Alligator mississippiensis: one gene and its partners. Each later gene encodes a partner of the first gene's protein in a complex. Links are inferred from orthologs where the notes say so. Each region holds a gene or a part of one and is shown on either strand. Other genes may lie near its edges. The genes, in order: MED1, PPARA, MED25 and MED20.

Region 1 (7,294 bases):
AGTATGAATCATAAAAAGACTATGTAATATCACCAATCTCTCGAAAACTCTCACCATGACTTGACGGACAAGCTTCACAGTTTCAGTCCAAGGTCTGTTCTGGTTAAACTTTGCATGAAGTCTTTCCAAGAGAGAACTCATCTTGTTCAGCTTCTCTGCTTCTATGGGACAAATTACAGAAGACATCTCATTCAGGACCTGCTGCAATTTAATGTTAATTCAAACAACACAAAACTTTTACAGACACAAACCCCCCCTTCATCTAAAAGATCCGCCATTCCATCTCAATGTTAGGGTAAACCACAACTTTGAAAAATCTTTTTACTGATTATACACACACACTTTTAAGACCTGCTGAAGGCTCATGGGAAAGACCTGAAGTAGCAACAGATCTTTGAAGAGGAGTGGTTAAATCTCCTGGTTTTCATAGCACTGAACATGCATATGCAGTTTGTTTTTCAACTCTGAGTTCTGCTGAGAACTTTATAAGGCAAAAATACTTCCACAGACTCCTCCTTACTCCCAAAACCCTAATCACACTCTATGTTTCGAACTTTTTCATTTGTGGACTGACCACCTGAAAAGAAGCTGTGGACCCAAATCTGAGAGCCATTATACTCACATTTTTGCTCTAAATTGTTTTTAAGAATACCTTCGTAACACGCAGTGAAGGGTGAATCACCAGCCTATAAAGACTCCAGCTGGAACCCACTTAAAATGAAGGACCTGACTGAGGCAGTGACAGCTGGAATGCAACACAGGCCAACAACTACCAATGCTGCAGAGAGCTGGGACTTCTATGACTTAAAGGAGTTCTGATCTTACTCATACTAGAGACCCATGGGTTGGCATCTTCTGTGGGTGGGTGCCTGCAGGATACAGAGGTGTCCTTGAATCTGGATAGCAATCTGCATACTGCAACACAATGAAACAACTAGCAACTTCAGTTTCACTTCCCAGCAAACAGGGTTTCATGGTATTCCATCAACTTTAAAACTTAAGAAACAAGTTTTATGCATCTCAATTTCTCTGTTATTTGGTGGGGGGTTACAGCGCTTTTTTACTGTGTGTTAAAAGTGCTTTGGTCTTCAGTACTGCAATGGAAAAGAAGCTTATAAACTACAGAGAAACTGATGATGCAGTGGAAACACTGTCATTGACTATACAAAGGGTATTATCAAATGCATGAAGTAAACAAGCTGAAACAACAGAGAAAATAGTTTTCCTTACTCTCTAGTTATGAGTATCTTCTGTGATATTTGTAAAAATTGGGGATAACACTTGTCTAAAAATAGTTTTAAGTGGTGTCCCTTTCACTAGATATGGAGCAGGCTTCTCTAAAGCTAGACCCTGGAGTTTAAGCAAAGTCATCCCCGTTTGTTTTGGCAACTTCAACTGAGGTGTCCAGTTCAAGGTAAACCTAGGATTAAAACTTTAATGGCACAAGTTCCTATTTGTGTAAATATGTTAGGGGCATTTCAAAACTCAGTTTGGGAATTGTATTATGCCATAAACTTAATATTGAATGCATCTGCAGGTCCACATGCAGAAAACAGTTCTTTAAAATGGCTGGTACAAATTTCCAGATAATGGATGACATCCTGGGTCCACTGGGATGCAGTAGAAGTTCTGCATTTGACATCAACAGAAGCAGAATTTCAGCCAGAGTATAGTCTTTTATTTCCTTCAGAAACTGAGGAAGTCAACTATCCCTGCTTAGCAGCTGGCACCAGATGTCACCAAAAAAAAGAAAAGTAACCTGTCTGTCAGACTAGCTATTAATTTTAGTTCTTCTTTTTAATTTACATTGAAAGCATGATGATTATTAGTTTTGCAGAAGAGGTGGATTTAGACATGCCTTATATTTGTGTGTTTAATATGTTCGTGGATTGTTTCTGATACACATTAAAAAAATTTTTTTTGAACCAATTAACACAGCAGAACTGAAACCCTCAGAATGAATCCATGCCCATTTGATGTATACAGGGGCAAATTATATATAGGGAAGAACTCTAAGCTCTAGAAACCATTTCCCTTACTGCACAGAACAGGTTCCCAAACTCTGCCCTACTAAAAGCTGTGCTGACATCATGATAGCAACTAAATGGATCTGCTCAACTTGCCTAAGTTGGGGCAAATGGCAGCTGTCATCACCTTTCACAGAGGTGCAGCCAATAAGGCTGCAAGTCACACAACATGAAGGTCCATCTCAACCCAAGGCAGCTGTTCTGGCTTACACACCACACGGTCACCTGCACCAACACAGTTTTGGGCACCTTCATATTCTGTAAACCACGAGGCTGCTCAGCTCCAGGTGAAACATCCCGTCCTTGGCACATACACTCCTCTCCCATCCGGGTGCAGCAGCACATGCCAGAAGCCCCTTAGCTACCAGCAAGCGCTCCCTACCAAGGGGTTTGGACTAGCACGGGCAGCAGTGCCCGATTCTGGCTGCAGGTAAAAGAGCACAACCCTGTCTTCCGGTCGCCTCCTGGGCAGCTCAGCCGTGGCTTCATACAGGGCACCAACCCGTGCGCTACGGGTCCCTGACATGCTCCTGAGGACAGATGGATGCTGCCCTGAAACCTACTGGGAGGGGGGAAATGGTCCTTCATCCCCCTGGGGACTTGAGGGTAGGGACTGCTGGCTTTCCAGGGAAAAGGATGTGTGGGCTGCCGCCTGCCCTGGAGATGAGCATCTCCCTGTCCCCGCCCCGGCAGCGCCCCCTCCCCCGCCCCCGCGGGCAGCCTCGTTCTGAGCGAGGGGCTGGGGGCGCAGCCTCGCTCTGGCCCCAGGCACTCACCCTCAGCGCCCCCCTGAGCCGCCTTCATCCTGCAGGCGGGCGCAGGACGGCGATGGGGAAGGGAGGAGGGGCGGGCCCCGGGGCAGGCCGCAGGTGCCTACTCGCGTCGAGCGGCTCCCCGCGGCCAGGCCCCCCCCCCGCACGGGAGAAGCCTCAGTCCGCGGCCGCTGCCGCCATCCCAACGGCCATAGCTAATCTCCAAACTGCGCGACACTTCCGCATTCTCGCGAGAGCCTGGAAATCTCGCAAGAGAGCAGCGAGCGGAGCATGCTTGCGCCGACATCTCGCGGGATCTGGAGCACCAGCTCGGCTTCTGTACAACTTCCCTTCCCCACTCTAGGCATTTGGGCTTTTGCGCTCGGCTGCGGGGCCGAAGCCTCTACTTGATAGTAGCTGCCCCTGAGACTTCTTTGCAGTTCGAAAGAGCTACGGAGATGTAACAGTAATTACACGGGGAGGAGAACTAAATATTTCAAATACCGAGTCGGGCAGGAGCGATGGTGGAGCCGCGATGGGCCAGAAGCCAGGCTAGAGGCACAGATTTCTTAGGGCGATACCTTTAATTGGACCAGTTGGGTGGATAGGATGGAGTTAGGCAATACTTTCTTCTTCAGAGAGTGCATCTAACTCCACTCCGCCTGTACAGCTGGTCCAATAAAAGGTATCTCCATAAGAAATCCTTGCTTTGTACAGCAATGTTCCCACTGTGTTACTTTTTTTTTTTTTTGGACTATTTGTAAATCTCAGCTGTTCCAGGAAGGTGGCTAGCAGACTTTTCACTTATCTCACTGTGCTGAGATGGCAGGCAGTAGACTTACTGTACTGCTTCTTCTCACTCATTGACTCCTCAATCTATATTTTCACTGACTACCTGTCTTGTATGCATACCAGCCCAGCCCCTGGCTTTTTTACTTTTCATTCCATCCAGGAAGAGCACACAGCAACTGCTGAAACTTCCTTAGCCTGACGAAGGGTTTTTGAACCCGAAAGCTTGCCTAATTATTATTTTCCAACTATTTGGGTTGGTCTAATAAAAGATATCAGATTCACCCAAGGAACCTTGTCTGCCTATGTTCTTAGACCAACACGGCTACAACCTACATCCCTGTACTGCTTCTGAGCACTCCTTTTAAGTCTGAGATCAGATAAATGCTGCTTTAGCATACATGCCAATGTTGCTACGGTCCCAGCCTCCTTCTGCACAGGGCCACATCATCTGACCTGTGAGGCTCCACACTGGCAGTAGTGTTAAACACTACAGCTCTAGGAACACTTAGCTTTGCTATCACTTCCTTATCACCAAATTTCTGTGCCTGTGGGGAGTCCCACAGGCCAGGTGACATGGCTGTGGGCCAGGTGTGACCTTTGGACCAGAGGTTGAACACCACTGATGTAATACAAAAGGAACATACCCAGCACATAACTGGAAGCTGACAGCGGTTGATAAAACAGTACCATAAACACTGTGCTTTAAGTCTAAACATACATCCAATGAGCCCTTAACTTGGTCTAGGTACTATCAAACAAAGTGTTAAAGATATTACTTTAATCTTAAAATCAAGTGTAATGGGGCAAACCATAACAGCTTTCTAAATGCATTAAATACTTTTACCTCCCATCTCTTTAGAAGGACTTTTTCCCCTTCTCCCATACCTCCACTTTATTCATTCAAGTTCAGTACAGAGTACAATACTATTAACATACTTTGCATTTCTTTTTCACCAGAGAAAAACGTTTTTTACAAACAGTAAATTGCACAACACCCAAAGATAGAAGCACTGCAAAGGGGGGTGGGGAGGAGGGGAGGAAGAGAGAGAGAGAAGGGGGGGGGGGAACCAAGATTAGCAGCATTCCACTTAGAGCTCTTCTTTCTGCTTTCTTTTAGCACGTAATTTCAGTTTTCCCACTATCAAGATCCAAATTTACATTTCTAGCTCATCACTATGGACAGAAAAATTGATATTGTCAATTCCCTTCCACAAAACCTGAAAAAAACCATCAGGTTCACCTTTGTAGAATGACAAAATACTAATGTCAGAGACAAACCCAGCCTTTCTTTGAAAAGGGCCAGCCCACCTTATGGCTTCCTCTTAACACACCACAGCTGAAGATGTTCTGTTCTTTGACCACCAGATGAGGTGACCTGTTTGAGTGGGGTAGGAGTTCTTCCTGTTTCCTGAGTAAGACATTTCATCTCCTTCAGTGGCCAAGTATACAAGGTATCTACATCTTTATGAGGTAGTGAATACAAATTAATTGTTTTAAATTCCACTGAGACTATATGATAAAATTGTAGTCATGTGCTACTTTGTTAAAAAGAAATTGCTACCTAGGATTTACAATAACTACTGCTTTATACAATAGTTACTTTGAAATTAATAGAAACTGGAGATTAACCTCTTCCTCCTTTCCAGAGGTTATTAGAGTCTGTTACTTTAACTAAAACAAGCTATTCATCTGCAGGCTGGTGCCCAGTTCTAGTTCCAGTCGAGAACAGTGTTCCATTAACCAGATAATTAGACAGACAAGGAGACCAAAGAATAATAGGATCCAGTATTTGCTGAGGAAAGTGGTGGATTCATCTGAACTTCAAGTCTTGAAAGCAAGCTTGGATGTCTTTCTACAATAGCAAAATAAATCCAAAGATATTGGGAATTATGTGGGAATTTGAGAGTGTAATTTGATGGCCTGTCTTTCATCTTAAAAATCGTGGAGATGTGGAAGGACCATCGCTACTGAGTTAACTGCAGCCTCAGGAAGAGAAGGGAGGAGCATCTGTAAATCCACAAAATAGTTGTACTTTTGTCACCCTTTAACTTAAAAACAAAACTGATGAGATTTCATATGCTGAGTGTCAGCCTAAAGAGAATTTGTATGGCCTAGTGAATATAGACAACAGGGTTTGTAATGGAACACAGACCCACCATTATTATAGCGAGAGAGCTCAAAATGTCGATGTGACAAAATGGAAGCTGTAAATACACACATGCAAATAGAACAGACACCAATTAAAACCTGCAATTTTAGAGCTTTCTGGAACTTGCCTTCAAGTGATGTGACCCTCATAAAAATAAATCTACATTCTATAGTGACAGTTTCAAACCTAAATGGATATGCTGTTTGAGTCATTCCTGTATCATGCTGTTGTTATATTGAAAGCCTCAATACTTCAAGGAACAAGCATGGAAGTTTTAAAATAGGAATATTCACAGTTTTTCCATGTAGAAAAAGCTTGGGGGGAGGGTATTTATTCTCAGAGGGAGGAAAAAGCAATTTTTGTTGCTCTTTTCCTTTTCATATTTGCTTTGGAGTGTTTAAGGCTGGCATATAATGACATTATATTATACCACCCACTATACACCAGATCCTTTTACTTTCTGTTCTATTGTTGGGTAACATGTCACAAGGAGCCAATGATAATTTACCTGAGGAATGGCTAAGGGACATTTCCAGAAGTCTCCACTGATGTGATCTGCTTCACTTTTTGGCTAGCCTCAGGACCCATTTTTCAAAAAGCACCAAGGAACTGCAGTCCCTGTTTCCAAAAACTGCTGGACATGATTGTCCAAGTAGTAGTAACAACAACAATAAAAATAAATACTTGATTTTTCTCTGGAGGGTTAGGGCTATAGAATGAGGGTTCTGGATCATATGATTCTGTTTCCAGCTGTGAGGAAAGCTAGGGGTGATAGAACTCTGGGGGTCAGGGCGCTGGTGTCCTCTTTTCGGTTCTTAGAGACAAGTGGATGCAGCAAGGAAGAGCTATTAAAATCAGGAGTCTTGGTTTCTGGTTCCAGCTCTGAGCAGGGAATAGGATTTAAAGTATAAAGGTGGGGACTGGAAGCCAGAACTCTTGGATTTTATTTCCAACTCCAGAAAGGGGCAAGAAGTTAAGCTGGGACCAGGGAGCAGTGATCCCAATCCCCCTGTATAAGTAGACAGCTAGGTTTTGTACTTAGTGTGTGTTTAATGCAGCCTTTTATGGCTACTATTTGCAAGGCCCTTTGGCTTTCTTGGGGAGTTATGTGAATAGGTGTATGCATACACATGTCTACATGTATATATGTACCTACATATATGTGTATATGTATATATGTACACACATGAACATAAATGAACACAACCACCTGTGTTATGTTCATCTCCCTAAGCATGTACTTTGTGCATGTGGGGGGAGGGGGGGTATTTGTCTTCAGGAACGTGTCAGTAAAGTTTTGTTGAAGGGGGGGGCACCTGTGGTGCTTTGTCCGCTCACTTTCCTCCCAATAAAGTTTTGTTGGAAAGGCAACGCTGACAAGCGCGGGGGTTGGTCTGTTGGTTCGTCCCCCTCCCCCCCATGTGCCGCGTTACGACGGGGCTCAATAAAGTTTTGTTGAAGGGCCTCGCGGCGTGCTCTCGCGAGGTTTCCGTCGGGGCCTGAAGGAGGAGGGAGAAGCGTCGGGGAAATCTCGCGAGGTTTGGCCGGCGGAGAAGGGCTTCCCTCCCGCGAGA
Region 2 (7,728 bases), about 29 Mb from region 1:
TAACGACCTACCTGTTTAACGACCGCTCGGACTTACGACCAGCTCTCCGAGCAGTCGGTATTGTGGAAACGGCGCGCCACAGGTTCAGCACGGCGGGGCAGACCATAAGCACTCAAAGTAAAAAATAAAGAGACTCTCCACCCCCTTTTCTGTTTTTCTTTGGCAAACCTCATATATTGGGCCAAACTTATTTTTGGATACTTGGGGTCAACATATAGCATATACCTGTGCTTATCTTTACAAGGGACTATTCAGGCATGCAATATTTTGACACCTGTCACTGTCAAGTCTCAGTATCATCCTGGCTGTCCTCTTGTATTGTAAAGCAATAAAAACCTCCTTGGTGAAAGCCAGGATATTCTATTAGTCAGGTATTATAAACCAAAATGCTTTTAGTAGCACAAAACAATTTCCTTCAACACTGACGGTCGCATGTAAATCATTCTAGGAGCTTGTCTACATTTTTGATAGTATAAATGCACACACAAACCCAACCCATGTGAAGACACCAATGTAATATGACTATGGACTACTAGTGACACCTCAAAAGGTAGGGATTTTATGTTACATGCACCTTATAATGCCAGGATTTTTTTTAAAACATACCTTCACAAAAGAGTAAATAATGGTTTAATTAAATCTACTCTTTTATACACCCAACCTAAAGGGGAAAATTCAGCCTTTAGAGGTGACTTACAAAACTGTTTTAAGATGAAACTTTAACATGTTCAAGCTCCCAAGCTCCATAGAAAGCTTCTGGAAATATTCTGCACGTAAGCTACATTTTTAATACAAAATATTTGAAACCCAATTCTTCTTACACAGCAGGATTCTCCATTTCCCCTTGCAACAGATATTTCTTTTTCAAAGAAAACAGACCCTTGAACTCAAGTCTCAGCATGTAAGGAAAAGAGAGAAACCAACTGAAAAGTGTATCTGCTACTTCGAAGACATTGGTTTCTTGTAGGATTGCCTGGCACCTCACAGCAACATTGAGTGTCTGTAACCCAGCTTTTTCTGGAGGGTTAATATGGTTTCCTCCTAGGCTGCCTACTACTCCACTGGAAAGTAACATTTTGCATTTATGACACCTATCTGCTCTATGATTCTTGGCACTGCTCAACTCACCCAGAAAAATATTAAAAAAACATAGACTATGAAAACAGAAGTGAATCACAACTACTCCATGCCCCACACATAATCGTTTGAAGGGCACTGTATCTTTCTGAGTGGTGAGTAGAGAAGAAGAGGACTTTTTTTTTTTTTTTGGATGTCAAATGTTCCCTGCCCTACATGGGGAGAGAGAGAGCAAGCATGCTGCCTATGCAGTGCTCTCAAACTCTGCTAACAAGAGAGCAAGGTCAGCTTCAGACTCTCATCCTCATAAAAACAGTGTACTGTGAGTGCTACTTAAGGTGTACAAAGTAACTATATAGCTGTAAAAGTCACTATCAGCTAATGACTATTTGGTAGATCATACAAAATAAGCAACTGATGAACTTGCTGTACAGTTCCTAGTGGGCAGTGATCGTATCACAGAAGCCACGATTGACACTGTTGTTGGCTGTTTCATAATGGGTGTCTGGTGCCTCTGGTACACCAGTCAGCGACCGCCAAAAGGCAAATGTGTGTTCTGTTTGCTACCAATCTAAACTAGGCCACTTACAGAAAACCATGCAGCTTAGATTGATTCTGCCTCAGGCATTTTGAATGTCTGTACCTAGCCTAGAGGGACAAGATTTTGTTACTAACAAGAATGATAAAAAGTCAGTACAGACACACGTTCTATAAGATGACACCTAGAACAGACAACTTTACACACTTTCACATAGACAGGGCTTCGAGAACATGGGGTGTCTTGGGAATGCCGCCATCCCTACTCCGGGTTAAATCTAACAAATCCCGTCTTTACGTCCTTCCAACTAAGAGCTTTCCAGCAAGCACCTCATGCTTGGGTAACTGGACCAATTGGGGTGAGCAGATAGTCACTTTGGAGTTGTTTTATCTCAGAGGCCTGAATGTTCCCTTGCACCAAACAAGTTGCTTTGGGTAGATGTGGCATCTTTTATTAGACTTGACTAGTTGGAAAAATTGTTCTTTGCAAGCTTTCAGGTACAAACCAACTATTTTTCCAACTATTTAGCTGGTTTCATAAAAAGACTTCACATTTCCCCAAAGCACCTTGTCTGCCCATGTCCTTAGACCAACCCAGCTACAACCAACACCCTCTACACCAAAGTGACTCCAACTTTAAAGGCTCCAGGCAACCCTGGACAGGCTCGCGGTGCCCGTGAACATGCCAGCTCTTAGTGCTCACTCTTTTTTTGACAAGAGAAAAACTTCAGAGTGCTTTTCCTGCTGACAAGAGCCCAGAAAGACCGCAGACATGAATTTCCATTAGAAACCTCAGGGTTTACCTTGTGGACCACAGTGGCCGACCTCAGCAGTAGCGTGAGCCTGTCGTAGCACCCACTTGAACAGCTCTCAAGGCGCCCCAAGGGTGCCAGGGCTTTCTCCCTGGTTGATGCTTACCACCTTAGGCTTATATGGCCTGCCCTGCGGGGGCAGCCGCCAACTCGTTCTTCTTGTCTGGCCACCAGCCGCCAGCCCTGTGGGGAACCTGGGGCTCCCCCGGCAGCCTCGGGTGCATCTCGTGTGGGGCAGGACGCCACTTCCCTGCCACTGCTGGGTCAGCTAAGTCGCAAGGCAGCCACCGTTGCAGGCTCTGGGACACTGATGCGCACACACACACTCACACACACACAGAGTGACAAGGACAAGGGGTGACAAGGCATCCACACCTCCGCCCCCACACGGATTAACCCCTTTGCGCCCACGACGGATCACCCCCGCCCCGCCACGCACCTGTGTCCCGAGAGGCGGCGAAGCCCGGGACCGCGACCCCCGCGAGGGGCGGAGAGCGGCGGCGGCGGGGGAGGAGGAGCGGGGGGGCTGGGTCCGGCCCTAGCGAGCCAGTCAGCAGAGCCAACACGCGTCTGGCTGGCGGCCGGGTGACAGGTCCAGGAAGTGAGGTCACGGCACACACCTCCCGCCGCCGCCGCCTCCTATTGGCTGCGCGGCGGAGGGATGGGAGGGGGGAGAGGCCCGCGGCTGGGGGCGGGTCAGCCCAAGGGGGGAGGCTCGCTGCGCGGCTGGGGTTTCCTCAGCGCCCAGCCCCGCGCATACGCGCGCCTTCGCCTCGCGCGGGGCCCCACCCACGCATCCCCGCGTCACATGGCCACGCACACAGACAGCCCCTTGAGCCGGGCGTGTGAGGGGAAACACGGACACGGGAGCAGACAGGCGCACGCAGACATGCACGCACACACACGCACAGACATACACACACACGCGCCGTCAGACACATGCGCACGCAGAGACGCCCGGACAGTCACGCATTCACAGACACGCACAGACGGGCGCTTACCGACACACACGCACGTGCCCCCGGCCCCCTCAGGAGAAAAAAAGACGCACAGGGACACACGCACGCAGACGTACACACAGAAACACCCGCACATACGCCCCCCCCACACACACACACACAGACGCGCGCGCGCGCCCCCGCCCACACAGACACGCCCCCCCCCCACACACAGACGCGCGCGCGCACGCAGGCTGGAACTCAGTCTGATGAGCTCCTTGCAAAAAGGGGAAATCTGTGTTTTCTCTGATAAAAATGGGAAATCCATGGTTTTCTCTTTTTTTTCCGTGGGAAACGGAAAACCAGGATCCCTGGTGATCACAGATGGCCTCCAGGCGATCTTGCCAGCCTTCAGTCTTCTGTAACAGCGATTCCATCAGGCCAGGGTGAATGGTCTGTAGATGGTCTCTCGAGTGCGCTGGGCCCTGATCTCCTTGCCTGTGTTTTCAATTAAAAGTAACCCGTTAGAAATACTGAGGTTTGGTTGTGGTCCATTGGTCCCAAAAGTTGTAATTCAGTGGTGCTCAGTTTTTCTCCCTGGCGGGCCAGATGGGCAACGCCTAAGTTCCTCTGCAGATCAGATCCAGCCTGTGGTCCTGATCTGTTGCCCAGGGCAGGTGCAGTGGCCATGTGAAGGGGGCTTGGAACAGCTTGGCCCCTTCCCTCCACAAGGCTCCATCAGAGCAGCTGCAGTGGTCATGTGGAGGGGCCCTGAAGCAGCCTGGCCCTGATCCAGCCTCCTGGAGGGAAAGAGACATAGCCCACCCCAACCTGATCACAGGAAAAAGGAGTCTGGCCTGGCCCCATCTGGCTGAGGGGGTAAGAGGTGTGGGAATTTGGCAGCATGGGAGGGTGGTTGTATTAAGGGCCACCAGTCCCCTGCTGCCAAATTTTCTAACCTGTGGGGAACCCTATGGGCCAGATGCCACCATGGTCCTACGGGCCACATTTGGCCCACAGGCCAGAGGTTGATCATCCCTGTTCTAATCAGAAGCCAGCTTAGAAAGTGGAGTTGGGTGGCTGATGTGGTTATGACAGCCTGTGCCACTGTGGCAATGTGTTGCAATGTCCTGTGCTAGTTGGAGTTTCCTAAAGTAGGCTGGCTTTGTGCCAGCTGCATCGCACAAAGCGAAAAAGATGTTTCTAACCAGGCCACATCACCAGTCACGGAGATGAGGAGGAGTCTCTAAACTGGTAGAAAGTATTTCACTCTAGGAAGTTAATGCACATACTGTCTGTTCTAAAAAGCTTATGGAAATATTAGAGATTTTATTTATTTATATGGGACAATTAGAGAAATAATTAAAATAGCAAAAAGAGAGAAAGAAACAGAACAGGAAAGTATATTCCAAAGGAACTTTAGGCTGATAAATTGCATCATATGCATGATTAAATTTCATGACCATGCTCATAATTACAGTTTACAATGATGCACAAAGAGCATCAAAATCATATTTTAAAATGCTTTTATTCAGATTATCACATTTTTCCTTTTTTTCTCCTATGCAAAAATATTGCACTTTATTGACTATTGCTTTTGTTTGCTGACTTCAGCGGACTTACAGGGGTGGCAAAGAGAAAAAATGGCCTGCTGTTTAAAATATTCCATGTATGTAGAATACTTGAATACTTGACCCCATTTTGCCTATATATATGTTAGCTTAATATTACCACTGTAAGTAGTATTTGATGGGATAATGGTGGCAGGTTTTGAGGCTTCACATTCAACAGCTAAATAAACAACAATACTGAGAGATGAAGAAAATCAGCAAAAAATACATAGGGCTGTGAATGGATAAAAAGTACAAACAACAATTAAAATAATGGAAGAAAGTGCTTGTTTGTATTAACAATTCAATAGTACAGTACTGACAGTAAAATGTAGCTACTGGGGAAAAACACTAGCATTTACAGTAATGCTGGTACTCTTCTATCCTAAATCATACTCTTCTATCCCAAAACATTTGACAGATTTTGGGCCACATTCTGGCCTCCAGTATAAACTTAGAGCAGCATTAGGGCAGTGTCAAAGTTATATAACATCAAAGGAAAAGCCAGTACGCAGTTGCCAGTAGCATCAGAAAGTCTACAAGAGAACTATCCATCTGATATCCCCTCAGGTCCTGTGTGGAGCACAGCTCAGCTGAACAGGAGGCAGATGTGCTTTTTATTCACTCCTGTTTACTTCTGAAGATGTTCCCACAAGATAGTTTATTCAACCCAAACTGATTAAACCTCTTCATAGATGAAACATTGCAATATACTTTGTTTCGGGAATTACCAGTAGTTATATATCTGAAATAAGTAGGAAGAGACTGTTTCTCCTCTTTTGACCTCCCAAGTCTGTTATGCTGAATGCAGATGCTCTAGTTTGGCATTCCCAGGCTAAACTTCTAGGGGAAAATTGTATGTCATTCTCTGAAAAGGGTTATATGCCTAGTCTGCATGAATACTCTCACCATTCGACTCTCCCCTCAATAGAATTTCAGTAGTGCTGCAGTGAGATTATTAGAAAAAAAATCAGTGGAAATTGTATCTTATAGGGCAGTGGTGCTCAACCTCCTGGCCCCAAAGGCCAGAGTGGGAATTTGATGGCAAGGGAGTGGTGGCAGTGCTACATTTTGCAGGTCTGGAAGCCATGGCAGTTAATACACTTGCAGTTCCTCCACCCCAACATTTCCAGATGGGGCATCCCGCAGGCCAGAGGTTGAACACCATTTCTTAGGCTACTGGCTGTGTAAGTTTCTTAGAAAAATCCATAACATTGTTTAGGCTTTTTCTCAGTGACAATTAGTTTCTAAGGTAGCTGACCATTCTATAGATGCAGTTTCCTTTGGAAAGCTGTGTTATCAAGGTATGGAAAAAGAGATCTCTGGGCCCTACTTTGGGAAGTGTTTCCTTCTTTTAAGTAAATTACTCATATGATGCCTGTAAACTATTATGATGAGTACCCCAGAACATGAATATAAAGAGAAACTTTATTTAAAATATTTATTTACACAAGACCAGATTATCTCTTTATGTATTTACAGAGATTTTGAAGTGCACATTATTGATTTGCTTGCATAGTCTATATTTGATGCCTTGACATCTACCAGCTAAATATTGCTCAGAGTTATAAGAAGTCTGAGCACATCAGATGTAATGAATTCTTCAAATATTTAATGATTTAAAAGAAACTTTAATTGAGCTAATCTGCATTTAATATTGCATTCTATTAATACAGAGTAACTCAGTATTAATGCAAATTGGCATACTGAAATTAATTATGAAACGTAATTACACTTGTGCAGTAACCAGGTTTCTAGTATTAATAACCCAGCTGATCTTGACACAGCCTTAACCACAGGATCACAAAGAGCAGCTCTGTAATACAATATTTCTGGTTGCAATCTTAAAATCAGCAGCATAGCAGATACTAACTTTTTTAATAGCATTATGGAAATATGCAGAATAAGGGCTCAATACTGAACTCTGCATCATGAATAGCACATACCCCCTGGTGGTGCCAGGAGAGCAGCAGTGGTGAGCGGGGAGCTCCCGCAGACACTGACGGCACTGTAGGTGATGCGGGGTGGTGAGCGCTGGCAGTGTTGGCAGTGACCAAATGTGATCATAGACCTCCCACAGACGCTGCTGGCAGTGCCAGCAGTGGGGTGGCAAGCAGCAACCGCCCATAGGCACCGCCGACAGTGTCAGCAGTACCTTTTTGCAGGGGCTGCACCACCATGCACAGGAGGTGCACGTGCACCCACATGCACCCCCTACATGTCGCCCTTGCTCTGCATAAGTTCATAACTAGGGAAAATGCAAGCTTCCTGGTCCAAATTTACAATGTGAATGAGTGCCTCCTTCAGTCTTAAAATAATGCAGGATTTGGGCTTGTAGATGCACAAAAGGTATACTGGGTGCTATGGTTACTTTTGGCAAATGTGTTAGAGATCTTATCATACAATTTTTAATATGTAGTATACCTCATTTTTGTTGTCTAGACTAGAAGACTCTTCTCACCTTTTATTTAAACTTGAACAAAGACTTTCATAATAGTTTATTTCACACACACCATTACATTTTGGCAGGAACCACAGAGTTCAAGGAGCATATGATAGAATCAGAGAAAATTAGGGCTGGAAGGGACCTCAGGAGGTCATCTAGTCTAATCCCCTGCTCAGAGCAGGACCATCCCCAACTAGGTTATCCCAGCCAGGGCTTTGTCTAGGCTGGGTCCTAAAAACTTCTGAAGATGGAGATTCCATAATCTCTCTTGGTAGCCTGTTCCTGTGCTTTACTACCCTCCTAGTGAA
Region 3 (7,005 bases), on another chromosome or scaffold:
ACCCATGTTCTTCCTGCTGCTGCCAAGCCTGGCCCTCTGCACAGGTGCTCTTGGGGTAGGAGAGGGCCTGGGGCTTGCCCTGCCCCTAGACAGCCAGGGACACCAGTAACAGGAGATGGGCCCCGCCTTCCTCACCTCCTCCCTGCTTGGGCCCCACCCTGGTTGTCCCACATTAGCCCAAGGTTCCAACTACACCTCAGGCTCTGTAGAGGACCCAGGCATTCAGGGACAAGAGGAATCAGTTGCCAGCATGTGAGGTATGACTGGGCTACTGCACCACATCCTGGCCCACCAACCCACTGGAGACCAGTGTCCCACGAAGGGGCATCTCCATGGCCCCTCAAGCCCCTTCCACCTCTATGGAAAGATGGGGGTGGGGTAGAGTTTGAGGAGCACCCCACAGTTCATCCTGTCCCACCCGTATCCTTACCCTCAGGGGAGCAGGGTATAACGTGCCCCCCACAGTACTATCCAAGGAACCCCCAAAGTGAGTAGGGGCACCCTGCATGCTCACAACCTGCTGTGAACAGGAGAACATGAAGATTTCAAAGGGCACCTGCACCAGGAATGACACACATGTGGTATGAACCACCCCTGCCCCCCTAGTGGTACACTCCACCCCATCCCCCTGGGAACTGCCCATAAGTGGTACGTCCCTGCCTAAGGCATGACCAGCAAATTGAACATCCTACCCTGACCTCCCTTGTGAAAGACCAGCTTGTGGTACATCCCTGACCAGCTTTCCAACCCCACTGCCTGGAGATGCCAGGTACCCCCCAAATGCCCTCCCTTGGCAGGGGGTGCTGGGACACCAGGAGGGCCACTCCTGCACCCACAAGTGATACCATGCACACACCCAGGACATGGAGGGATCCAGGGTGCTCATCCCACCCTTCATGACAGTTTGCCAGAGGCGGGCCGGGAGGTGGGGCAGGACACACGCATGGGATTGCCCGACAGTTGCCCCCAGAATGACACTGTTGGGCCATAAAATTCCCCCTTCTCCAGGCAATGTTGTGCTGCCTACTCACATCTCCCCCAAAGTCTGTCTCAGCTGGTGGACCACCATTAAAATACCTGTGACAAGAGGAAAAAGCTATCAGAGCTGAAATAGGGAAGGGGGCAGCGGGGCTGGAGGAGAGATGGAGCAGGGCAGGAATATGTGGGGCAACTGAACCGGGCTGTTCCTGTGGGGGGAGGGGGGTTGTTAGGGCACAGGTGGGAGGGTGCCAGGAAGGGGGTGGGACTGCTGGGGGCTGGGGTGGCTCAGGAGAGGTAAGAAAAGGCAGCTATGATCCAATTGACAGACACAGAACAGGTGGAACAGTGAAGGGGACAGAGCTGCTCTCTCCCCCTCCCACCGTATCTGGAGGCTTCCCATTCAAGTAGCGAGCAGGCCTCATTCTGCTTGGATGGAGCTGTGCTGGGGAGACAGACCAGCTGCTTCCACTGATGGAGGTGCCCAGCTGGTATCAACAGTGCCTGGCTGTCATGGATGAGAACAGGGACAGCAGGGTGGGGCACTTGGGGCCAGACATTTAGGGGGGCGTGCTGGGTATCAAGGATAAATTGGAGGGAGGGTCCCATAGCTGGGCATCGTGGAGGGGAGGAACTGTAGCTGGGAGCTGTAGTAGAGAAGAGGGGTCACACCTAAGCACTGGAGGGGGCAGGGGGCTGTAGCTGAGTGTTGGGAACCATTGGGGATAACACATCCAGGTGACAGGGAGGTGAAGGCCTGGGCACTGGGAGTAGGCTAGGGGGTCCCATACCTTGGCATCGGGGGGGGGGGGAACGACTGGAGCTGGGAAAGTGATGAGGGGACACAGCTAGGCACTAAGAGGAGAGAGAGGAGGCTGTAGCCAGGTGCTGGGGACCAGGGGTACATATCTAGGCATCAGGGTCAGGGAGGTGAGACCTGGATATCAAGTGAAGGCTGGGGGGATCCATAAGTAGGCATCAGGGTGGGGGAGCAGAGATGGAAGACTGGCGGGGAGAAGTAGCCACATGCCAGGACAGAGATGAAGGGGCATAGAGAAGTTGTTAGATGTGTTAATCCGATTGGGGCTGGAGCCAGGTGGGGGGGCGGGGGCCGACACATCACTGGGCATTAAATAAGGCAGGACAGGCATGGTATCCGGGCATCTGGGCAAGCTATGGGGCAAAGAGGGGGGAGGTCTTACAGCTGGGAGTTTTTGGGGTGGTGCCCATAGATGGGTGTCAGGGATGGGGGGCATAACCAGGCATTGAAGGGTTAAGATGGGATACTGTTTACCCAATTGGGAGCAATGGTGAGTCTGAGCACTGGGGGGGCAGGGGCATGGTCATTCTGGCAGGCTGGGTGGGCACAGCCAAGCATTAAAGGGGTAAAGCCTGGATCCTTGGGCTCACCCTGCCAGTGTAGACTGGGGGGGGGGCACCCCTGGAAGTCCCACAGCTGGTGGGGGTGGACACTGGGGCAGCTGGGGGTCCATAGCCAGGTGTTAAAGGATTAAAGCCCAAATGCCCAGGGTCACTACGGGAGGCACGGGGCAGGCTGCAGGAGTCACAGACTGGCATTAAAGCCTAGACGCCTTGGTTCACTGGGGGGGTGGGAATTAGGGCAGGCTAGGGCCTCCCAGCTGGGTGGTGGAGGAGCAGACAGAGCCAGACACTGCAGGGCTGGAGCCTGGATGCCTAGGTTCAGGGCGGGGGGGCATCAGGACAAGTGCCAGCTTGGCATTAGAGCCCGGAGCCGGAGTTCAAGGCGGGGGGGGAGGGAGACGGACACACGACACTCACTCGATGGCGGGCAGCAGGTAGTGCTTGCGCAGCGACTCGAAGTAGGGCCCCAGGTTGGCCGTGCCTTCGATGACGAATACCACGTCGGCCACCATCCCGCCAGGCCCGCCCAAGGCCGCCGCCTCCGGGCCCGGCACCACCATCGCCCCGCGGGCGGGCGGTGGGTCACTACGGCGCACCCCTGTCCCGCGGACTTACCATGGACACGCAGGCCCCGCCTACCCCCGTAGAGACCCGCTTCCGGCGCCCACCGGAAGTACTCCTCTTCGCTTCCGCGTGCGGGTGTAGGGGGTCTAGGCCCCGCCCCCGGTCTCCATAGTAATTGCGCGGCTTCCCCAGTGTGCCCCGCGCGGGCAAAATGGCTGCAGAAGGCTGAAAGGGTGGTGATGGCGGAGCCTGGCGGCAGCCCCGTCTCTCTGCTCTGCCTGGCAGCCACCAGCGGCGTCCCGCTCTTCTACCGCGGCGCCCCCACACGGCACCAGGTCGGGCCGGCCCCGAGAGAACGCAGGCGTCCACCCCCCGATCAGTCATGCCTGCCTCGGGCTGCATCGGGTCCCGCGCGGTTCAGCACTCCCTCCCCCCCCCTCGGCTGGGACCCGCGAGTCCTGGCCCCAGCCCCGTCCGCGGCTTGGGCAGAAGCCAGGCGCCCTGGCTTCAGCGCGCCCCGCCCCTCCTGGAGAGAACCCAGGTGACCCGGCTCCCAGCCCCCACTCCCCTCCCAGGGCTGGGAGAGAACCCAGGTGCCCTAGTCCCATCCGGCCACCCCCCCCCCTCCACAGCTGAGGGGGGCGGACGCCTGGGTTCCCCCTTGGCTCTGGGCAGAGAGCTTAGTCCTGGATCCCTTCACCACCACCACCCCCGGGACCCCACTGACTTCCCGCCCCCGCCCCCAGCTCCCCTTCTCCGTGATCGGCTCCCTGAACGGCGTCCACATGTTTGGCTCTAACCTGGACGTGGCGCTGACAGCCGCCCGCACGGAGGGCACCCGCGTGCTGTGGAGGGCCTTTCATAACAGGTGGGGCCTGGCCTGGGGGAGAGGGAGGGGACCACAGGTCGAGCTGGAGGGGGGAGCGAGTCTGGCAGGAAGGGGGCAGGTGTTTAGCCTGAGGGAGGGGAGCAGGGCTCCAGGTAGGGCAGGGGGTCCATTTGGGGCTGGCCCTGAAGGGCTATGGTGCTGGACAGGGCCATTACCCCCCCCCTTGGCTTTTCCAGCATCACCCTCATTGTGATGTCATCAGAGGAAGGTGCTAGTGACTTCACCCTCAGCCGACTCCTGGACAATGTGTTCAGTGCCATGGTAAGCCTCCCCGCCCCCATTCTATGCCCCTATCCCTTTCCTTCCCCCAGCAAAGTCCATGGAGCAACCCTCCTTCCCCCATACCCCACCTTCCTGCTCTAACATCCAGCCCCCATCCCTATCCTTCCAGAGGGGGGTGCTGTCATATGACCCCTCTACACAAAGGGTCCCTAGAGGGCTGAGGGGGAGGGGGGGGGGCCAGGAAGTGTACCCACATTCCCCATCTTCCCTTAGAGGACCCTAGGCATGTGTGCGCATATGTATATGTACACACGCAGAGCTGTATCCTCACACAGCTGCCCTGGTTCAGCCCTGCGCCCCAGCCCCTCAGTGTGTCAGGCTGATGGGCTTGGGGCCTGGTTCCAGGTGCTGGTGCTGGGCCTGGAGGAGTTGGCGAATATCCGCAATGTGGAGCGCCTTAAAAAGGACCTGAGGGTAAGTGATGGAAGGGCAGAGCAGGATGCCCCAACTGCCCTGGACGTGGGGTGGGGCAACAGGGCCATATGCCCCTGCCCTGAGCTGGTGTGGGGCTGAGCCCTACTCCACCCTTCCCCCCACCTACAACCAGGCCTGCTACAAGCTCATTGACAGCTTCCTGATGCCTGGGGAGCGCATTGGGGACCTGACGCACTGTGTGGAGTGTGTGCTTGTGCCCTGTAGCACCATCCTGCAGGTGAGAGCTCCACGGTGGCCCACGCCCTACTTTTATCCCCTGGAGGGACCTTGGTGCCCTGGCCCACAGGCACGGGAGTAGGGACAAACAGGAATGAGCAGAAGGCTGGGATGCTGGAGCAAGTGAGGATCCAGGGGAGGGGCAACTACTACTGGGACCAGGACAAGGAAGGAGCTGCCCTGCCTTGACCCCTCCTCCTCCTAACCCCCCTCTTCCAGGAATGCCTGACTGCTTTCACACGGGCAGCAGAGAGCCGCTTTGGCTGCCTGCTGGTGGGCGGCCGTGTGGCAGTGGCCACTGAACCCTGGTGGCAGCTGGCCCCCCAGGAGGTGAATCTGCTGGCCTGGCTCGTGGGCTCACTACTTCCCAGCACTACCCGGGACTACCCTGTCTACCTGCCCCAGGGCAGCCCCATGGTGAGAGCCCATGGGGAGGGGCTCAAGGCTGCAAGGGGTGGAAAGTAGGGAGTAGACATAACCATGCCTATGCCTCCCCCTCCCCCCCTAGGTCCCCCACCGTCTCCTTACCTTCCAGCTGCTGCCCGGCTTGGACATCTGCCTCCTGTGTGGGCCCAGCCCCTCGCTGGAGGCTGTGAAGACTGAGGTGGGTGCCAGGGGGGACAGCATGGTACCCCCCCACAAAGCCTGCACAGAAGCCCCAGCTAAGGCGCTGAGGGGGGGGGGGAGAAAGAACACTGGCACCATTAGCCTGCCTATCTCTGCGTTTCAGCTAGTGCCACGGTTCTGGAAGCCCCTGCTGGAGCCTCTGCGGGCATGTGCATGTCCCCCCAGTGTCCCACTGCACCCTGGAGTCCTGGCGTAAGTCAGGGGAGGGCGAATGGGACATTGGGCAGGGGCATCAGCACCCCTGGCTAGCTGCCCCCCACCCCATCTCACTACATCTCCTCCCTCAGTTTCCTGCTGATCAACCGCGAGCAGAAGCGGAGTCTGAGTGCAGTGCTGCCCAGAGGGGTTCAGGCAGAGGGTAGGTCCTGCCCCCACAAACCCTGACTTCCTGATGCCCCCAAAATGTGCTGCAGCAGTGCCAGGGCAGTGCCTACCACTCTGCCCTCACCCACCTCCTCCTCCCTGCCTTTTCCTCACAGGCCCTGCACTGCCCCTGGGGAGTTGTGCTTCTGTCTTGAGGGCCTTCTATGCCCTGGTAGTCTCACATTACTTTCCCTGTGAGGGGAGCCCAGGTGAGTGCAGGAGCTGGCCCCCAAGCCTCTCCAACCAGGGACCCTAGCACCGATTCTAGTTCTGCTGGGCACTACTGGGCAGGTACCTCCTAAGCACCCCCCTTCCCTCTGTTCCTGCAGTGCCCCCACTGGAGCTGCCCCTAGGTGGGGGTTCACATAGTGCCCAGCACTGCTATGTGGTCAGTGCTGGGTACAAGGCCTACGCTGCCCAGGCGCCCCCGCATCAGCTTTTCCTGCTACTGGCGCCCGAGGTTCCCACCTTTGCCCTGCGCCCGCTGGCTACCCATATTCTGCAGTACCTGGTGGGGGATGCTGCCTTTTGATACCACCTGCCTGGACACCTGGGTCCCATGGCTTGGCCAAGGGACTGATGCCACCCGCCCAAATGCCTAGGTCCTACAGCTTGGCAATAAGAGACAGACTCCACGTGACCAGATCCCTACATGTCAAGAGAGCACTGATGCTGACTACTGGGGTCCTGAGTCTCCTCTAAGGCAGGGGGAATGAACACTGGCTGCTTAGTTGCCTCAATCCCCACAGCCTGGCAAGAGAGGGGATTGAGGCTGGCAGCTTAGACACCTGGGTTTTTCAGGGCCCTGGACCAGGGCTGAGACACACCTGCCTGTAATTAAACCTCAGGGAATACCCCGATCTGTGTTTCCTGTGTCATTTCCACCTGACCACCCGTGCAGCAGAGAGAGGGGCATAGTGCTCCCCACCCTGCAGGATCCAGAGTTTGCTCCACACCCTGCTGTGACATGCTCCACCCCAGAAGCAGGTGTATCCCAGTGCCATGGTGGCGACTGTACCTGTGACCTGATGCCCCTAGCCCTCCCTTGCCGGGTCCCACAGCACAGAATGAAGCTCAGGGGAGGGGGGCAGGTGGTATTAGGGGCCCTGGCAGGTGCCCCATTTATTAGTCACATGGAGATAGATACACACGCTCTGATCCGCAGGAACTACGTGACGCTAAAACACCTAGAACGGCAAATACCATGGAGCCTGGCCAGCACCTGTGGGGACCCCCGCTTCCTCCCCCTCCCTGGGGCAGCAGCAGCT
Region 4 (7,892 bases), on another chromosome or scaffold:
TTACCAGGAGTCAACAGCCACAAGAGTGAAAGCAGAGCTCCATGCCATCAGCCCTATCAGAATGGCCCACATTGTGGGGACATAGCTGCTAAAGCTGGGGCAGGCAAAGTCTGGTGGATCAAGCCTGCGGCAGACTTCATTTCCCAGCAGCCCCTGCCTGCATCACTGCAGCCAGTTTCCATGGAGACCCCGGCAGGGCAGGACTGTGACAGCATGGGGCCAGGGTTTCCACGGAAACTGGCCCCAGCAGCGCTGGCAGAGAGCGGGGCTGGGTAGGGAGCTGCTCCGGGGCCAGGATCTTGAGCCAGCGACAGCGTGGTCCAGGGCTGGGACAAAACTATGACCTGCTGCCCTTATGCCCTGGGCAGGGGCGTGCAGGCAGCAGATCGCGGCTCTGCCCTGGCTCTGGACCACGCTGTCACTGCTGAAAGATCCCAGCCCCGGAATAGCTCCCTGCCCAGCCATGTGCTCTGCCAGCGCTGCTGGGGCCAGTCTCCATGGAAACCCTGGCCCCGCGCTGTCAGGATGCCACTGCTGCTGGGTAATGGAGTCCAGCCACCAGCTGGATCCACAATTTTGCTCAGCCCTATGCTAATGGGACCACAGCAGCCAGAAGGTGGTACAGACCTGTCCATATAAGCCTTTGTTAGCTGTTAAATAGCAGCCTTCTGTCTGCCCAAGAGATGAATTCACTCTGCCGGCAAAAGAAAAAGATTTTGATTCCACATAGCAGCTTTGAGTGGGGGCATGCTTACAGGAGGTAGAACTGAATCCCGCTAGCAAGATTATACAGCATAGACCGGGCTTGTCTGACCAGCTCTTCCTTCCTACCGCTAGTTCAATCCAGTTCAGTAGCACCATGCTGGGGAGACGACTGGAGAGAAGAAAGGTATAAACAGGAGAAAGAAGAGGCCTCAGAGCTGGCTTTAGCACTCCCAGCTAGAACAATAAGAGGACAATAATTTAACTCATTACGAGAGCAGAGTTCAACCCAACCAGAGCTACCAGCTACTGCAGCCAATATAAGGTTCTCTGCAAAGCATTTCACTCAGATAGCGAAACGACAGGCTGACCTTGGTTGCCCATGGTGGAGGCAGCTGTGTGGTAGGTCTCACAGTCGACACAAAACGTTCCTTGTTTCTCTGCTCCGAGCAGCTCCAGTTTCCTTGTCAGGATTTCAACCGTCTGTTGGACACTCTTCCCCTCTGCCACTGGCATCTGAGATACACTATCGAAGAGGAGTTACAGAAAAGAGTCAATAACCATAGATACCGAGACACCTTAACCAAGGCAGAATGCAATACAGCCAGACAACAGCGTTTTGCATCTAGAACAGAGATTAAAAGCCGACACGTGATGACCATTTGCTTTGTAAAGCATTTGGACGGTACTGTCAGCATTACTTTCATCTATCTTATCCGCTCACACTAGTGATTCTCAACCAGGGTGCCAGGGTACCCTGGGGTACCCTGAGATCCTTCCACATAATGTTAGCACAGTTGGTTATACAAACCCAAAGATTTCAAACAGACTTCCATGGCTGAGGGCTTTCTGAGTGCTTTACATTGGAAAAACTGCTCTATTATTTTCCCATGTTCAAGAAATGAAAACTAAGAGGCGGCACTTTCTAACGGGCACCTCTAATTTATCCAGGGATGCCTTGAGTCTAAAAAGAATGAGAACTGCTGCTCTCGGCTTCTCAGGGCAAGGACGATGCTACTCAGTGCCTTGTTCATGTTTGTGCCTGAAGCATTACAGTACTAAACACGACTAGCAAATGTAACAAACACCTCTAAAGGCTGTAAAAGGACCGCTGTGATCATGTAATCTGGCTTTTTATGCAACACAGGTCACAGAACCTTACCCGGTAACTTCTACCTTGCTGAACGACAGCAGCAGTTCCCAAACTAGGGGCTGTGAGGCCTTGGCATGGGGTCTGCCGGTGGGCCACACACACTGCTAGGTCCCACATACTTTTCTCATGCTTCCAGTGAAACGTTTGATGATAAACCTGCACTGCTAGCTTGCGAGAGAAATGGAGGATGGACTGCTCCGTGAGTACAAAGCCCTGAGCTAGATAGCGGGTCTTTTACAAAGACGTCCTGTCTCAGGTTAGAGACAGGTCCACAGAAGAAACCCTCGCTTCCAAGAGCAGGCAGGCACACCCAAAAGCCCCACGTCTGGCATTTTCAGTCCACTCCATGTCAACCCTGCTGTTCTCCACAACCCAGAAAGCCCTACAGACAATGGTTATTTGCCCTGCACAAAGTGCCACAGCGACAGCCCGATGCCATTCCTGCCGCCCCTATAAACATAGGACGAGCATCGCAAGGAAGAAGCCTCGGCCAGGCAGGACTGCTTCGCACCCGGCGTCTGCCCTGTTCCGGTGACAACAGCAGACACCCAGAGCACGACTTTGTCCCCAAGGCCATTTTGCCTTTTTGCCAAGGGGACCCTGCGTCTCTGTTCTGATACAGCGGCACCTCCGTGCCCCTGACGCCTGGTGCCATCACAGCCCTGTATTTGCAGCTGCGACGCTGACCTGGCTTGATCCAGCCTGATCTCTTGTCAGTTCCTCTCAACCCTGTCTACCTCCCAGCCCCTTGCTCACCAGGGGCCTCATCCCACTCCTCACCGCCTGCTCCCGGTGGTGGTACCGCAGGCGGGTGCTGAGTGGGGCCTGGATCTTCAGACCCCTGTGCATTGAGGGGCAGCTCAGCCTGCACCCCTCCCCCCATGGGGGGATCTCACCTGCCCTCGCCCCTTTGCTCCCTGCAAGCCTCCCCCCAGCCCGCACACATCCGGGGCCCTACCAGGTGACCCCCATGCTGGGCCCAGCGCTCCCGGCCAGCCCCTGCCTACTCGGGATCCTCTTTGCAGGCGCGGGGACCGCCTCTCCCGAGCAGGAAGCGGAGTTTCTAGCCCAGCCCCGTCCTCTCCCGCTGGAAGGGGTGGGAAGCCGAGTAGGAAATGATGTCAGGCGGCCAGAAGTGGGTGGGGAGGCCGAGCTACGACGCTGGGAGGGGATGGAGGGGGGGCAGGAGACAGGGGCAACCCGCTGCTGATGCGGGCAAGCGCGGGTTCCTCCGCCGCTGATCCGGGGGCACGTGGGCAGCGGACAGACGAGCAGCTGCCCTTCACACGCGGTTCAGTAGCTCACACCCGTCCCAGCTCTGGCCTACACACATCAGCCCCGTCTGCCCCTTGTAAAAAAAAAAAAAAAAAAAGAATGAAAAAAGAAAAGAAAGTAAAAATTGGGCGGCGGCGCCTTTAAGAGCGAACGTTCGGACACGCCTGTCGCAATGGTCGGAACGTTGAGAGTCGCAACGTTCCATCCGCGCCTGCGCGCCGCGTTGCTCCCCTCCGCCCACGTGTGCGCGGATCGCCATGCCGAAGGCCAAGCGGGCCAAGGGGAGCGCGGGGCCGGGGGAGGCGGTGCGGAGCCTGCCTCTGGCCGAGCAGATCCTGCAGGGCCAGGCGGTGCGGCCCAGCCGGAGGACGAAGAAGCGCGGCGCGGCCGCGGAGGCGGAGGACGAGTATGTGGATGAGAAGCTGTCGCGAAAGATCCTGGAGCAGGCGCGGATCCAGCAGGAGGAGCTGGAGGCCGAGCACTGCCCGGGCCGGGGAGCCGAGCCGCCGAGGAAGACCACGGTGTTGGGTGAGCGGGGCGGGGGAGTAGCTGAGAAGAGATGTCAACCCGATCCCCTTCGATCCCCCCCACCCTGAGCCCCGAGGGCAGGTCGTGGCGCTGGCAGGGGCACGGTTCTGCCTTCCAGGGGAGAGGAGGGCAAACCCTACACCACCCCGCGCTGTCCCACACCTGCCTTCTCATCCCTTTTGATCCATGCTCTCTCCCTATAGTGTCTGATCACCTTCCAGAGACGTTTAGGGCTGGAAGGGACCTCGTGGGATCATCGGGTCCAGCCCGCTCTGCTCTGGCAGGAAAGACATTTTAGTCTTCCCACAAACGCAGGTCTCAGCCCCCTGTGGGTCTTGTCTTCCGAGCAGCACACTGCAGAAGTAGAGAAGTCCTGCAAGAAAGTCAGGACTGAATCCCTGCTTCTTGATGTCCAGTCCCTGGCTTTATTCCCTGGGTCCTTGAACGTGAAATTCTCCCTGCCCTAAATCACCGTAGGTTGTTCCTGTCTATTGATAAACAGCAGCTGACCTAGGGCAGGGATGGGATGAATTCCCACTGGGATTGATTGATCAAGTATGCTCCTTAAAGACAAAAGGGGTGAGCTGTGGTTTTATGTTCCATTTTAATAACATAAACAGGGAGTAGGGAAGGTCAGACATGGACCGGACACCCCTCAGTACTCCTGCTACAATAGAGATCGTTCCCTACGTCAGACTCCCTTCTAGCCAAGCTCTGTAGCAGCCTGCATACATGCTACTGCTTAGCTAGCACGTCAGCCTGTTTTTGTCACTGTAGATGGTATTGCTGTGCGGTCAAACCTAGCAGATTGAGCTGAATGGATGTCTTTCTGTCATACTAGTGATGTTTTGGACTAGGGCCGTTGCTAGGCCAGGATGCTGTAGCTGTGGGACAAACCACGTTCACTGCAAATACTGACAAAGAGCACTGGAAAGAAATTATTTAGATTCTACCTTGGGAACTTGCTTCATGTATATGTGGCCATTAAAAAGTATAGAATCATAGAACATTAAAGTTGAAAGGGACCTCAGGAGGTCATCTAATCCAGGCCCCTGCTCAGAGCAGCACCTGTCAACCTAAAGTAATCCTCGGACATGGGAAATCTGAAAACCTTTTATTTGCTGTTACCTGGAACATCTAAGCTAACTGAAAGACCAAAGAGAAATATTATATCTTGTATATTAAAGTTGATGGGACTGCTCTCATGTGTGATGTCAAAGGTGTGTGTGAATGCATGGACCTGTAAGCTCAGCCCCTGAGGCAGCTTTCCCTGTGTCTGTGGGCATCCATCCTCAAACAAGGTTTGGGGGGTAAAAAAAGTGTTTAAAAATAGGGCAGTGCTATTGCAAAGCTACAAGAAAAGCAGGGGGAACGCGGGTGCAGAGGTAGGACTGGGAGCTGCTTATAACTCAAATCATTAGAACTTCAGATTGGCAGGGTCTCTCTCAATAATGATGTTGCGGTTCAGATGTGCTCTGTTTAATCAAATGTGGGTGGCAGTCCTCACTGTGTCTTCAGCCAAGGCCTGGCAGTCTCTGGTGCCCATCCGCTTGGGCTATTGGACTTCTTCACATTGACCTCTCAAACTACTCATCACTATAGAAGAGGTGATGAGAGACTATGGTATGGAGAGCTAACTGGTACAGCACAGAGGTGCTTAGTTTTCCAATTTGTCCAAGCCTAACCGTGCCTTGTTTGGTTTAGGATCTGCATCTCGCGATGGGGATTCCGATGCAGAGGACGATGACGAGTGGCCCACACTGGAGAAAGCCACATCCATGGAGAAGGAGGAGTATTGTGAAGAGGTGACAGTGAACCCTGAGGATGAGAGAGCCATCGAGATGTTCATGAACACGAATCCACCGCTAAGGTAGAAGATGAGCCTCTGAGCTGCAGTGTGGCACTTCTGAGCAGCGGGCAGTATCTTCTGCCACCATGCGGCACTGGAATAGGGTTAACATTTCATGGAAGCGCATGGATGGGGGTGGCTGCCTAAAGTGCTGTTCCCCACCTGTCGTTGGGGAAACTGAGGCATGGAGAATTGTCTTGTTCAAGCTCATAAAGGAAGTCTGAGGGAGGGCTAGGAACAGAGCCCAGGAGTCCTGATGGCCCCTTTCTGGGTGCCAAGCAGCAGATAGTACTCCATTTTCGAGAACTGATGCATGTGTGGCACAAACTCCCTGTTCCTAAATACTGTGTGCAGTACCTGAGATCAGGGCCCAGTTGTTATTGGGCAGTAGGCAGTCCCAGCCCCAAGATCTGGCAGTCTGAAAAGTTAAGACATGTAAAGCATAGAGGGGGAAACAAGTACAGATTCAGGAACTGACTTGTCCATGGTCCACAGTAGCCCTGTGGCAGATCTTAGACTAGAACTGGCGTCTCCTGAAACCTAGTCTGGGGCTCAGTGCACTAGAGCAGGGGTGGTCAGCTTGTTGTGAGATGTGTAGCCTCTGTTTGTGGCAGGCAGCAGATTGGGGAGGGAGCAGAAAGCAGAGCAGCGGGTTGGACAGGAGAGGAGAATTGAAGTGGCACCTGGAATGGTGCAGGGTTTAAGCTGTGCGATGCATGCCAAAATGGTTGTCCCCCACTGCACTAGCCTAATCTGCCTTGACAAAGAGCTGGCTTCTTGCATCCATTTCCAGAGCTAATTCCAACTTGTTTTCTTTCTCTGTGTTTGCCAGGAGAACCCTAGCTGATATCATCATGGAGAAGATCACAGAGAAGCAGACAGAGGTGGAGACGGTTATGTCAGAAATATCAGGCCTCCCCATGCCCCAGCTTGACCCCCGGGTGCTGGAGGTTTACAAGGGTGTCAGAGAAGTAAGAGTTGTTATATAGCATAGACCAGTATAACTAATATAAACCAGACCCAACGGCTGTTGTGGCTGATATTCTCTGTTGTGGTGGCTTGTGATGAAAAAGTCTCTTTACTTGCTACAGACATGGCTGTTTACTTGCTACAGCCCCTTCTGGGACGGCTGTTACAGTGCTGTGTAGCACTTCAGAGTAATTCAGAAGACCGTGAATTCTGCAGATGCTCCCCTTCCATCATAACTGCTCTAGACAAATATGTTGATTTAGGGCTTTGTGTTGAGAGGCTTTTTACTGCTGAGCTGGCGGTAAGTTAGCAGATTCTGGAGCTAATGCTAAAATTCTTTCATGACGAGGAGCCTGGAAAAGTTTGTAAGTGGAGGAGAGTTTCGGTACAATTAGTGTAGACCAGCATTGATGCCATGTCTTCAGGCTTTTCTGAGTGTTCTCTCATGCTCTTTCTTCCCAAATAGAACCACAGCTGTTCACCTAGCACCTCTCACTGAAGGAGTGGGAAGTACTTTTCAAATATTACATCCTCCAGACTACTGTGTCTGGAGTTGGCAAGGTGCCCTAGCCCTTTAACAACCATTCACTCTTAGTTGTTCGGTCTTTCTCAGGGTGACACATGCAATTAGTAACAGACTGTGGAAAGCGTGTGTAGCAGTTCCTTATCCTAACCGCTAGTATTCACTCGCTTTTTTAAGGTGCTGTCCAAGTACAGGAGCGGCAAACTCCCCAAGGCATTTAAGATTATCCCTGCTCTGTCTAACTGGGAGCAGATCCTGTACATTACAGAGCCAGAAACGTGGACAGCAGCTGCCATGTATCAGGCAACCAGGTAAGATGCAATCACTTTGCCTTTGAAAAGCTGGCTGATTTGGTGCATTTACAGCAGAAGCTTCCATCAATGGATAATAACTGGTGACAAACCATTATACATGTCATGGGAGATGGGTGAAGCTCAGATGATTGCTTGGGTGCACTGAAGTGTCTGGAATGGAGAGTGAGCATTCAGTTATTTCCCACACCCTTGTTCCTGCCAGGATTTTCTCATCTAACTTGAAGGAGAGGATGGCCCAGCGGTTCTATAACCTGGTGCTGCTCCCTCGCGTGAGGGATGACATTGCTGAATACAAACGCCTCAACTTCCACCTTTACATGGCTTTGAAGAAGGCCTTGTTCAAGCCAGGTGCCTGGTTCAAAGGTAAAAGGAAACTGAGGTGCAGGAGGGGCTGGGCTGACTTTCAACACAGCTACCTCATGCAGAAAGGCAGGGCTGGGCTCTCTGTGTGTTCCTTGTTCCCCGGTGTCATTAGAAATGGTGTGGGAGAGACCTGGGTGGAGGACTTAGTATTTTCCTGCTGTCTTTGGCCTCGTGGAAACAACATTTCTTATCCATGGCACAGCTAAGTTCTGCACA

What was found.
Region 2: the proteins of MED1 (region 1) and PPARA are in contact, whole or in part, in a crystal structure (PDB 9IWM), measured with the Homo sapiens proteins. The link is inferred for Alligator mississippiensis from reciprocal best matches to the Homo sapiens genes MED1 and PPARA. Residues at the interface, in NP_004765.2 of Homo sapiens: Asn638, Thr639, Asn641, His642, Pro643, Met644, Leu645, Met646, Leu648, Leu649, Lys650; in NP_001001928.1 of Homo sapiens: Val284, Thr285, Thr288, Glu289, Lys292, Phe297, Leu302, Asn303, Gln305, Val306, Thr307, Leu309, Lys310, Pro458, Leu459, Glu462, Ile463.
Region 3: MED1 (region 1) and MED25 share a complex: the UniProt entries of both Homo sapiens proteins name them as parts of the mediator complex. The link is inferred for Alligator mississippiensis from reciprocal best matches to the Homo sapiens genes MED1 and MED25.
Region 4: MED1 (region 1) and MED20 share a complex: the UniProt entries of both Homo sapiens proteins name them as parts of the mediator complex. The link is inferred for Alligator mississippiensis from reciprocal best matches to the Homo sapiens genes MED1 and MED20.

The regions. Positions count from the first base shown.
Region 1 is NC_081827.1:165,686,528-165,693,821, reverse strand, and holds the start of MED1 (mediator of RNA polymerase II transcription subunit 1), read right to left. Parts: upstream 3,001-7,294; 5' UTR 2,832-3,000; coding exon 2,804-2,831; intron 162-2,803; coding exon 55-161; intron 1-54. UniProt on the Homo sapiens protein: Component of the Mediator complex, a coactivator involved in the regulated transcription of nearly all RNA polymerase II-dependent genes.
Region 2 is NC_081827.1:136,205,237-136,212,964, reverse strand, and holds the start of PPARA (peroxisome proliferator-activated receptor alpha), read right to left. Parts: upstream 3,012-7,728; 5' UTR 2,866-3,011; intron 2,739-2,865; exon of another isoform or gene 2,418-2,738; intron 1-2,417. UniProt on the Homo sapiens protein: Ligand-activated transcription factor. Key regulator of lipid metabolism. Activated by the endogenous ligand 1-palmitoyl-2-oleoyl-sn-glycerol-3-phosphocholine (16:0/18:1-GPC). Activated by oleylethanolamide, a naturally occurring lipid that regulates satiety.
Region 3 is NC_081828.1:39,929,153-39,936,157, forward strand, and holds the start of MED25 (mediator of RNA polymerase II transcription subunit 25), read right to left. Parts: upstream 3,019-7,005; 5' UTR 2,922-3,018; coding exon 2,779-2,921; intron 1,078-2,778; coding exon 1,032-1,077; intron 1-1,031. Other genes in the region: FUZ (protein fuzzy homolog), read left to right, coding at 3,308-3,466, 3,672-3,793, 3,991-4,075, 4,442-4,510, 4,644-4,748, 4,967-5,164, 5,256-5,351, 5,478-5,566 and 3 more. UniProt on the Homo sapiens protein: Component of the Mediator complex, a coactivator involved in the regulated transcription of nearly all RNA polymerase II-dependent genes.
Region 4 is NC_081837.1:38,996,233-39,004,124, forward strand, and holds the start of MED20 (mediator of RNA polymerase II transcription subunit 20), read right to left. Parts: upstream 3,006-7,892; 5' UTR 2,828-3,005; coding exon 2,814-2,827; intron 1,229-2,813; coding exon 1,074-1,228; intron 1-1,073. Other genes in the region: BYSL (bystin), read left to right, coding at 3,388-3,658, 5,363-5,528, 6,340-6,478, 7,177-7,310, 7,516-7,676. UniProt on the Homo sapiens protein: Component of the Mediator complex, a coactivator involved in the regulated transcription of nearly all RNA polymerase II-dependent genes.